3 linked regions of the Arabidopsis thaliana genome follow. The protein of the gene in region 3 interacts with the protein of the main gene of each other region in a pairwise test. Each region holds a gene or a part of one and is shown on either strand. Other genes may lie near its edges. The genes, in order: AT1G79130, SAUR9 and AT3G12620.

The links.
Region 1: the proteins of AT3G12620 (region 3) and AT1G79130 interact in a two-hybrid assay, tested with the Arabidopsis thaliana proteins (one large-scale study listed by BioGRID).
Region 2: the proteins of AT3G12620 (region 3) and SAUR9 interact in a two-hybrid assay, tested with the Arabidopsis thaliana proteins (one large-scale study listed by BioGRID).

What each region holds. Positions count from the first base shown.
Region 1 is NC_003070.9:29,769,547-29,772,538, reverse strand, and holds AT1G79130 (SAUR-like auxin-responsive protein family), read right to left. Parts: upstream 1,322-2,992; 5' UTR 1,221-1,321; coding exon 816-1,220; 3' UTR 652-815; downstream 1-651. UniProt on the Arabidopsis thaliana protein: Provide a mechanistic link between auxin and plasma membrane H(+)-ATPases (PM H(+)-ATPases, e.g.
Region 2 is NC_003075.7:17,088,077-17,091,502, forward strand, and holds SAUR9 (SAUR-like auxin-responsive protein family), read left to right. Parts: upstream 1-1,857; 5' UTR 1,858-1,954; coding exon 1,955-2,269; 3' UTR 2,270-2,797; downstream 2,798-3,426. UniProt on the Arabidopsis thaliana protein: Provide a mechanistic link between auxin and plasma membrane H(+)-ATPases (PM H(+)-ATPases, e.g.
Region 3 is NC_003074.8:4,008,711-4,013,314, forward strand, and holds AT3G12620 (Protein phosphatase 2C family protein), read right to left. Parts: upstream 2,966-4,604; 5' UTR 2,479-2,965; exon of another isoform or gene 2,391-2,478; 5' UTR 2,284-2,390; coding exon 1,959-2,283; intron 1,870-1,958; coding exon 1,502-1,869; intron 1,352-1,501; coding exon 1,115-1,351; intron 1,028-1,114; coding exon 800-1,027; 3' UTR 560-799; downstream 1-559. Other genes in the region: SAP5 (A20/AN1-like zinc finger family protein), read left to right, coding at 3,997-4,479.

The sequences.
Region 1 (2,992 bases), on a different chromosome or scaffold from region 3:
CGTATATTTTCAGGATTATTTATTCGAACTGATTCTTATAAAGTGGTACCAACATCGTATAAAAATCCATCGTTTATACAAAACAACGTAGTCTTACATGTGCCATAGAGTTGAAAGATACGCAAATCATCCTCTAATCCACTAACAGTTCGCCACAAACCGTTTACTTTGTTATAAAAATAGAGATGGAGATCTCAGCTAATGTATGTTGTACGCTGTGAACAGCAAATTGTTCCCCACAAAAAAAAAAAGTCCAGCCGTACAACGGTACAAGAAGATACGGCCATGTTGAGACCTTTTGTTCTAGACCCCATTTTAATACACCTATAACTATAAGTCTCTCGTCGTTACTACAAGATATTTGCTACTTTATACTATATTTTTTTCGAATTATCATAGGTCTTCAATTAATAAGTACAAAAATTCAATAAAAAATATGTGTAATCATTATAGTGGATTTACATCTTTTCATAGTGTATTATCCACGCAAGACTCACATCGCATCATATATCTGAACTTTTCAATCAATTAAATGTTAGGTGTTGGGACGATATCATGGATATATAATTCATATTGACTTCAAATTTAAAATAATTATTATTATTATATAGTTGATGATGATCCGTAGTACGGTACGTGAAATAACTTGTATTTTGTCACTTCAATTTTATTTCACAGTACAAATTAAATTGATAATTTTGAGATAAAATCGAAAAAACAATTTTCATATCCAAATCATCAAGACGAATTTCTCCGATCACTCAAATAAAAAAGGAGAAGATCGAAGAACAAAAAAAAAACAGAATCATCATCATCTACTCTGTAGATACATCTTCACCAGATAACGATGCAATGAGCTCCGATGTATCATCAGCGATGCCAGATCGGAGAGACTCTACAACCTGCTCGAACACGAATACGTTACAAGGAATATGAAGAACTCCTTTCTGAGTGTATCCGTATTCTTGAGCTGATCGATTCAGCAATCCAACGAAAACAGGATGATTCAGCAGCTCTGCACTCACCACGAACCTCTCCTTATCTTCGCCTACGTTGACGGGAACGTGACCGGAAGGAACACTCGACGCGACGGTTGCTCGCTTGACCAAGAAAACTGAAGAGGAGTACGTTGACGTCGGGTGATGGATATCGCCGCTGCGATTTCGGTTGCAGGAGGATGAGTCTGCGATTCGTGACAGACGTCGAATCAGAGGCTTCATCTTTGATCCTAGACAGCCAAAAATGCTAGAGACAGAGAGACATAAATATGGGAGAGAGGTGTGGACTCACATTAAGCTTATCAGAAATGTGTATATTAAGTATTATTATATTTTGAGATGACACAAAAATGGTATTTAATTTATTTCATACATATATGTGTTAACATAATGAGTCATGGTCAATTTAACAATTGAAAGAACTACCTAATTTTGATTATGCAATATGAGAAATTCTCTAAATTTGGTTTATTTTCAAAACTTTCCTCACTTACATTAGTCAAATTACAAATAAGAATAGTAAGGGTAATTGTTAACAAATGTGGATTGCTAAAATCAAATTTTGATTATTGTACAAATTAATTTTAGACTTTTTTATGTATGATGAAATGTACAGAATAAACCAAGAGACTATGTAGATAAAAATCCGTTGTATTTATTAATCTATTTCTTACCATGAATACGTAATTTTCCCGTTTGATGGTAAATTAACATATAAATACACAGAGACGAGTGGATAAGAAAAAGACGTAGTATTTATTAATTTACTTTTTATTTGCTTTCCATGTATATATATTTTCATATATATATAAAAGAAAAAGAGTATAATTTAGCAAAATAACAAAAATATAAATATTGATAGATGGTTTTTGTATCATAATTTATTTAATTGTATTTCTGGAATTAATATTCTTCTTTGACTAGATTTCATAAGAAAGTAAACGAACACAAAATTAATGTTCATCTTTGACTTTTTTTGGAGGGAAAAGAGTGTTTAAACGTGGGAGAACAAGAAACAAAGCTTGTAGCCAAATTAAATAGAAGACAAATAATCATTAGTGAGAAAAATTCTTAGATTCCTAATCTTCTTTGTGTCTTTTCCATCAAACCCTAAAAAGATTCACGTAAGAGATGTCGAGATTTTTGGAATAGTCAAAGAAGGTCGATCGGATTTTGAGCTCCCTATTGAGATTCTATCGATAATTCCGACGGATTCTTTCGAGCAACTGGATCTCGCGAAGAGGCGATTATCTGTAAAGTGTCGAATTTGGAGGAAGAGGTGGTCGAATTGAGGAAGAAACTCCATGAGATGGAAATGAGTATTCACGAGCTTGAAAGGGATGTCTAGGCGTGGTTAGTTTTCGACGTTTTCAAAATTAACACTTAAACTTATTTTTAAAAAGTAAACTGTAAAATTAACATGGTTTTAGTTAAAATTTATCAGTTATTTTAAAATTGTTCTAATTTTTTTTAGTGAAAATTATTATTATTTTTTAAAAATGAGTTTAAGTGTTAAATCTATATTACGTGAAAACCATGCCGAACTTCGAACACCACAAAACTTACGGACCAACTAAGGACGGGATGCCTAGGCGCGGTTAGTTTTCGATATTTTTAAAATTTAACACTTAAACTAACTTTCAAAAATTAATAATGAAATTAACATTGTTTTAGTTAAATTTTATCAATTATTTTCTTAAAGTTTAAAGTTTTAAATTACCACTTTAATTTAAATCTTTTTTTTAAAAAAATATTTTTATATTTAAAATGTTTATTTGAAATATATTGCCAAAAATACCCTTAAAATCAAAATTAATTAATAAAAAAAAATTGGGAAAGCCAAAAACCTGGATTTGCTGAATCGTTGAACCATCGAAACTCCAAAGCTGCTATATAGTCTTCGGTTTCACTGTCCCTCTTTTGCCACTTTCTTCCTCGCATCATTAGCCGCCGGTGAAAGTGTTGCGGTGGTGATCCATATGGAATTAGGGTTT
Region 2 (3,426 bases), on a different chromosome or scaffold from region 3:
CACTTAAAATTTCCTTTTTTGGCTATCAAGATATACACGATATGGTGTTTCTACCACGGAAAATTTGCAATTAATTCGACTGGAATTATCACAAAGCCAAAGATGAAAATGTTTGATGATGTTGATTGATTCATCACCATTAAAATGATAGGCAAAAAGCAAAAAAAGGAACGAAAAATAAGAAGTTGAATATATAAATGGAAAAAAGTACGTGGAACACAAGGCGTCGGAGGAATGAAATGGGAACTTGCATGGATTTGATACTGTCAATTAAACAAAAGATAGGTTCCAACCTAAGCATTTGTTTTCGTTTTCAGATTTTCACATGGGGACGAAGTTTGCTTAGCTACATCTTTTCCCATATGTTTTTATAAACATATTTCCGATAAACTATTTAGATCATTATATTTTTAGTTACCAAATTAGTTAACCCATCAAATTTTCATATTTTAATCTTCCGTAAATGATATTAATGGTTTGTAAGTTCTAACTCTTTGACTGAATTTTGAAATGACCCCAAAATGTTTGTAGATATACAATTAACGTTCTCAAATTCCGCTGATTTTTCCGCATGGCACTTATTATATATACTGTATTTTTGTCGGTGACCAACATAATGTTAAGTTCCGCTTGGTCAGTAGATATAAAATATAATGTCATATGAACCTCGTAATAACCCGTATATCCTCTCAATGAATTTGGTTAACCAAGAAAATATAAAACTACCAAACTACATTAATCATTTGGTGTTATTTTGTACATCTTAATTTATAGACAAAAAATAAAATAAAAGAATGGGCATTAAAGTGTTGGCAACTCTACTTGTAGCAAAAGACATGTGATCTTGTAGTTGCAAGTACGTACTTTGGTTTATATATCTCTATACTTCGTCCGTAATCCTTTTGTAAACGGACTCAATTTATGACAAAACGGGTATCTAAATCTATTAACGGCCATATGGTATTTTTTGGTTATTTATTCATATATTAGTTGTAATAAAATTGGAAGTTTCAGTAGAGACAAATTCTGAAGAAGAGTTTATAACAAGTGTAGAGAAAACAGACACTACTTGTATTAATTTGTAGAGTTGTGTCTAAATAAAAACACAAAATAGAGACAATGTAGGGTAGTGTTTATATAGTCCCTACCTTATTTATAAGACCCTCCAAAAATTTTATTGTATGCATTCTTTTACATATTTTTGGCCTTTCCCTTATGGCTTGTCTCTAAAACTGCTTTGTTTCCTACATCCCACATGATATTTGCTTTCACATTACATATATAAAAAAGAATATTTTGATGGATTGATATAGTGGTATAGGAAAATTTGGGAGCATTGTTATATCTTTAGATAGTCCTGAGTTTAATTCTTCATTGATGCAAAAAAAAAAAAAAAAAAACTTAGACCATTTGGCTACTCTATCTAGGCCATAATATAACAATTTGGCCTTGTAAGAAAAAACAATAACCCTTGAAAATAGTTGGACGTTGTATTTTTATGTCTTGTGATAAAAGGAAAATGTTCAAATTTTGAAGAGATCATATAAGATAATGTACGAATAAAAACAAGTGTTTGGACATTTATGAAATTTAATAATTATATTTGATGTCATATGTTACGTACTTACGCGGCTTTGATTTGATCACCAAGGAAACACTTCATGTGGTTCTGCATGAATTAGTCGTTGTTGTGTATATAATACATATAACCTAGTCACAAATCATCCAAAAAGTCATAAGTAAACCTAATAAATCTATGTTAAAAGCATATATGAGATTTTTCTTATTAAATTTAATAAACACTTCCAAAATTTTCTCTCTCATTGTGCCCTTAAATACCCCTCCATATTCCTCCCCACCACCTTCACATCCACACCTTTCTTCAAACATACCAAACTCTCTCTCCCTCTTCCCTCTTCTCTCTAGCCAAGTTAGATTTCAATAAGGTCAAATCATGGCGATAAAGAAGTCGAACAAAGCGGCGTTGTCTCAAGCAGCATCTCTAAAGCAAATCTTGAAGAGGTGCTCAAGTCTAGGAAAGAAGAATCAAGGTAATTGCTACTTCAACGACGTGCCAAAAGGTCACTTCCCGGTCTACGTCGGTCAACACCGAAGTCGCTATGTGGTCCCAATCTCGTGGCTAGATCATCATGAGTTCCAGTCACTCCTCCAACTAGCCGAGGAAGAGTTTGGTTTCGAGCACGAGATGGGTCTCACTATCCCTTGTGATGAAGTCGTCTTTCGTTCTCTCATCTCAATGTTCAGATAATACTCGATATCGAGGACTGGTCTTCATTAGCTCAACTGGTCATTCTCTCAAGAAATATTCCCCTTTTAAGGAAGTAAGAGTTTGATCACATTGTCACACTCCAGACTCGGAAGATCAAATCCTCAAAGTTATTACCAAGAAACAAGAAATAAGGAATATATGCAATCTATTATTTAGGTTTTTTTTTTCTTTGCTAAGAAGACGGAAGCAAATGGCGGGGATCGCGTTAAGTATCGACTCAAGATTTGTGGCTATATTAATATACCTAACAGTTTTTTTTAATTAACCACTCTTTTGGGATTTTTTTTTCCTTCTATATATTTTCGGTGCCTTCTTTTATATATTTTATTTTCAAATATTTTGTATATTAGTTTGGATGGAAGACTTTTCCCTCAAGTCAACGTGTATTGTTGACCGTTGGTTCTTGAGAGGAATAGCTAGTTTTATTTGTATTAATTTTTTATTCAAGAATTTTCATTCTAAAACTGTTGTTAATTATTATCTTCTATAAAACCTTCATAAGTTAACTTAACTAGTGTTACAAAATAATGATTGATTAGCAAATAAATTTGGTTTCAATAAAATAAAAACTAAATACAACATATTAAAAAATATTATAAAAAAAACATTCACGGTCTATCCAGTATCAACCATAACTGGCCAAACATCAACGATTTACCATTTGTAGTTGCAATCTTGTTTCTACTTCATCTGATATTTGTAGTTGCAATCTTGTTTCTACTTCATCTGAGCAAAGCGTAATGAAAACTATTTATATTTCGATCTGTAGACTTTAATCGTAAGAAGAAGGAAAAAAACTAATCGTCATGAGAAGACGATAAGTCGATAAGTATGATCCAAAGTCTACAGTAATTTCTGTTTGAGTGGGGTTCTTATTGATAACAATAATTGCTTTTTCGTCGTTTCGTTTTCATGATTTATCATTTGTTCCAATTGCCTCGTTTTTGTTTTACTATATCAAAAACTCATTTTAATTTGGTAAGGCCGCCTTCAAGATTTGTGTCGATATATAATAATACAAGCAAAGCTTATCACATAGTTATATTTAAGTGATAATGAAATTTATTTTCTTATATATTAGAGAGAGATATAATTCTATCAGATTATGCTTTTAATATTGATCCTATTCCTCCCGG
Region 3 (4,604 bases):
ACATGCTCAGGGGTCAAGATCCCATTTCCTGGAGCTGTCTTTATTTATTTATTTTAGTATTAGTAAAAAATTTCCATGTCCTTGCTCATAACCAAAACATAATTTCAATCATAACAACAATATACAGTAATCCATTTGTAAAATGTTAGTTTTGTCGCCATATCTCCAAATGAATTCAAATTCGATGAAATGCATGTGCGAACATATGGATCATTAGATTATTTTGTTTTCATTTCGATTTACTATTGCGTGAATTATTCGTGATCTTTCAAGGTCTTTTAGATAACTATTCTAAATATTTTGGAACTATAGTCGGATGATTTTTTTACTGAGAACTGTAGTCAATTATATTTAAGGTAACTTTAATTTGTGACTGACAAGATCTTTTGAATTCTTAGGCCATGAAAAGCAATGTTGTTTTGTCTTTGACATAAAAGACGAACTTGTAGCAGTATCGGTCTCTACTGCATCAATTACACATTCGCTTATGTTTTTGTATATACACTAAAAATGACAACATAAGCAAAAAGTGGTAGATGGAGGTAGTCAGTAGTAGAAATCTTTCCAACAAGTGATATCTCTTTATATTATCCATAATAAACTCAGTTTGCCAAAAGACCTATACATTGGATTTCAACTCTTCATTTTTTTTTGGGATGAATAAAAAACAGAGTTAAGAGGAAATTTTTATATATAGAGAAAAAAAAAAAGAAGGAACTTGAATTGCGTTTTGCAATGTGTTTTTATATATAGTGGATAATGTATATATAAGATATATATAGATGTGGTGAGAGTAGAGTCAAGTAGAAGGTCCAGCTAAATCACCACCACCTGAGATGGAGAGGAGAGGTCGGCGTGAGGTACTGCGACTGACGAGATGTGAATCAAGAAACACAACTATGACTGTTATATCATCATGAAAATGTCTCCGCACTCCTCTATCGATCTTTTTTAGATCCGAATATCTCATCTCTCTCTTCTTTGCTGCCTCTCTTAGAGCTGTTTTTATGAGCTTCCTTGCAATCCCCTGCATACCCACATGTTCTCAATCAATCTTTCTATCTATTTGCACATAAAACGAGAGAGAGTAAGAAAGAGCAAGTGGCAATCTTACATTGCGCGGGCATGTGTTCACAATGTCAACAGCTTCTTGATTGGACAAGTGCTCCCACAAGCCGTCTGATGCAAATATAAGAAACTGATCTTCTGGATGGATTTTGTGTACTGTAATTGCCGGCTCTGCTCTAAGGATGGGCTTATGGAAAACCTCAGGGACCCTGAACTTTGCCAACAATGGTTCCCGGTTGAATTCTGCTTTCTTTAAGTATGCATCACCAATCGACCGTGAAACCTTCAAGAACCAGCCACGGGTTATATCTAGCGAAAAATCCTCTTCTTATACATGCATAGGGCTTACTTAGTTGTATCTTTCACAGTCAAGCTACTTGCAAGAAAAGAGTCTAGAAGTCAGCAACTCGCATTACCGTGAAAGTATTTTTACCTGTATAATACCTTTGACACGCCAAACTTTGTGCTTCAAGACCACAATCTGAGGATCATTTGGATGCAACGAGCGCAACTCCTCTCTCACAGATTCAAGACTTGCATTATGCTCAGACGATAACTGAACGGCCTTGACAATTTTAAACGCTTTTTCCAGTCTTCCTAGCACAACCCGAGAATCTCCAGCGTTTGCAATATACAACAATCCACTACATATGATCCCTACCAGACAACAAGCTCCAACAGAAGCAATCTGTGGTTTAATCTGCCACTGCCGCCGGACAAGAGAAAGAAAATCTTCTTCCGTAGCTAAAAACGCTTTAGTTATAACATTGGCAGACATTCCATGATTCTCTGATGTAAACTCTGCAATCAGAAAATGTCACCAACTTAGAACATAGATAGTCCCAAACACACACATATCAAATATAACAAAAAAGAAGGAAACAACGTACTCCTGATGTTGTCGAAGAGGTGTTTATTAACGAAACGGGCAGCTTCAGGACCACCATGACCATCATAAACACCAACAAAAGTAGCTTGAGGACCAGAATCAAACATACTAACAGGTCCAGACTCAAGCTTGCTATGATCTTCGAGAAGATTATTAGCTTGAATAACAGACATAGAGAACTCTCCAGCAACATGGTTACCAGAATCTTTATACCAAAGAAGACCATCACATCGACCATTAGCGTCTCTAGTAGAATGATCTCCTTTAACAGAAGGTCGCCTCCAACATGGTGCTACCATCCGCAATATAGTTGCCGATGATACCATAACTCACATAATCCCCTCAATAATCAAAATTTCTTTACTTCATCTAAAAGATCACTAACACCCCCAAAAAAACGGAATCAAATCAAAATTTGCTTATTCCTCCTTCCCTAAACAATACACCAATACGAATGCATCAATACACATTTGTCGCGCATATACAATTACGAATTTTCTTCAAGGATCGAGATCAATTACCTTAAAAAAAAAAAGCCGCGAAATGATTTACCGTTCGGACAAAACAAAAGTGAAAATTGGATCGAGATCGGAAGCAGGAGTTACGATAAGAAGGAATCGTAACTCCGGTTGGGATTACAGAGAGGAAGAGAGATGACGAGAGAGAAAGAAAACAAATCTAGCAGGCGACTCTGTCAGAATTCCTTATTTGGGGGTTCGATTTCTCTTATTTTTCTCTCTTTTTTTTTTTCTTTTTTTTTTGATGCTTTTTTGTTGTCATTTGGTTTTCGAGTTTAGCTGTTTAGGCATTGACCTCAGAAACAACCCGACGTTTTAGGCAGCTTTTTCTCCCATAGTTAGCTACGTTTCTCCATTTTTCAAGATTACTAATTTTATTAAAATATTACTATAATAAATAGATTTTTATTTACATTTTCCATAATCTGAATGAAATCAAATATATGCAAATATCAAAAGTATCACCTGATCACCAATTCCTAGTTTTGTCCAATGATACTGATGATTCATCAGCCGATTGATTGAAGGAACAAATTTGAAGTTTTCCACTGCTAGTTGAATTATGGTTAGTTCATTTGACTTATCAAAATCAAATGACTAAAATATTCGAATTTTCTTACATGCTGTAGAGATTAATTTCAATTTTAATTCATCATCCCATTATCTATATAAGAAAAAAGTAGAAACATTTCGCGAAATACAATCCACCTTCTGGGTTGTTGTCTTGTTGAATATGGTCAGGAAAATAAGACCATTAAAGCTTCAACCTCCAAGCCAAAGAGCAAATAAAATACTACTGATTAACGCAAAAACATGGAAAAAAAATAAAGTCTGCAAATTGGCATGTTGACATGTTGTACGCGTAGCTTTACAACCTCACAGGTCGTTTTTTTTGTGTGACAGTTTTAACCCCCAAAATCTCTTTCTTTTTGTTTTTCCCTAAAGTAAAAAATAAAAATCTAACATGTCCGAAGTCGAACCAAACATAAACATACAGGTGTTCGAAACTAGTTAACACAATAACACCTCTAGATATATATATGATTATGGTATTACTTTTCTTTGGTGATTTTTTTGTTGGGAGAGAAACATAAATAAACAAGTTGGCCCATATTCCAGCGATTTTCCTCACCCTTCTTTGATATCTCAGTTTATAAAAGTCATGATACTAATAAATTAGAGTATACTCAAAGAAAAATCAGAAAATACACCCAAAAAAGCAAAAATGTGAGAAAGAGAAACATGTTGTTGTCCGCTGTATGGCGTCATAAGCCATTCTAGAATCATTGAAATGCATATTTAATCCTCTCTGGTAATTCCAAAAAAGCGATGAGGGTATTAACGTAAATCCACCAGAAGACGAGAAAGTGGGGATGGTGGAAGGAGAGATGATAAGAGAGATGGAAACGCGTCTCTCTATGAGGCCCATATTCCATTCTTACCTCTCTCTACCTCTCTATCTCTCTCTCCTCATAATCGATCCGTAAACTCGCCGGAGGAGCAGGGAGATTCAATAAGACGATGGCTCAGAGAACGGAGAAGGAAGAGACCGAGTTCAAAGTTCTCGAAACCTTGACGACAACAACAACGACGTTATGTACCAATAACTGCGGCGTTACAGCGAATCCTGCGACGAACAACATGTGTCAGAAATGTTTCAACGCATCTCTCGTCTCGGCGGCCGCAGGTGTTGTTGAATCAGGTTCGATCTTGAAGAGATCGGCTAGATCTGTCAATCTTCGTTCGTCACCAGCTAAAGTCGTGATTCGTCCAAGAGAGATCGATGCGGTGAAGAAGAGAGATCAACAGATCGTAAACCGATGTTCTGGTTGTCGGAAGAAAGTTGGGTTGACCGGATTCAGGTGCCGATGCGGTGAGCTTTTCTGCTCAGAGCACCGTTACTCCGATCGTCATGATTGTAGCTACGACTACAAAACCGCTGGTCGTGAGGCGATCGCTAGAGAAAATCCGGTGGTCAAGGCTGCGAAAATGGTCAAAGTTTAAAAAATTAAAAATTCGATCTCAACCGTTGAAAAACTTGTGGTGGTTCAAAAGCTCCGATCGGAAGAGAGATTGGTCGGAGAGACATGGATTTGATTTGGTGATGTGTTGTAAAAGAAGATCAGAGA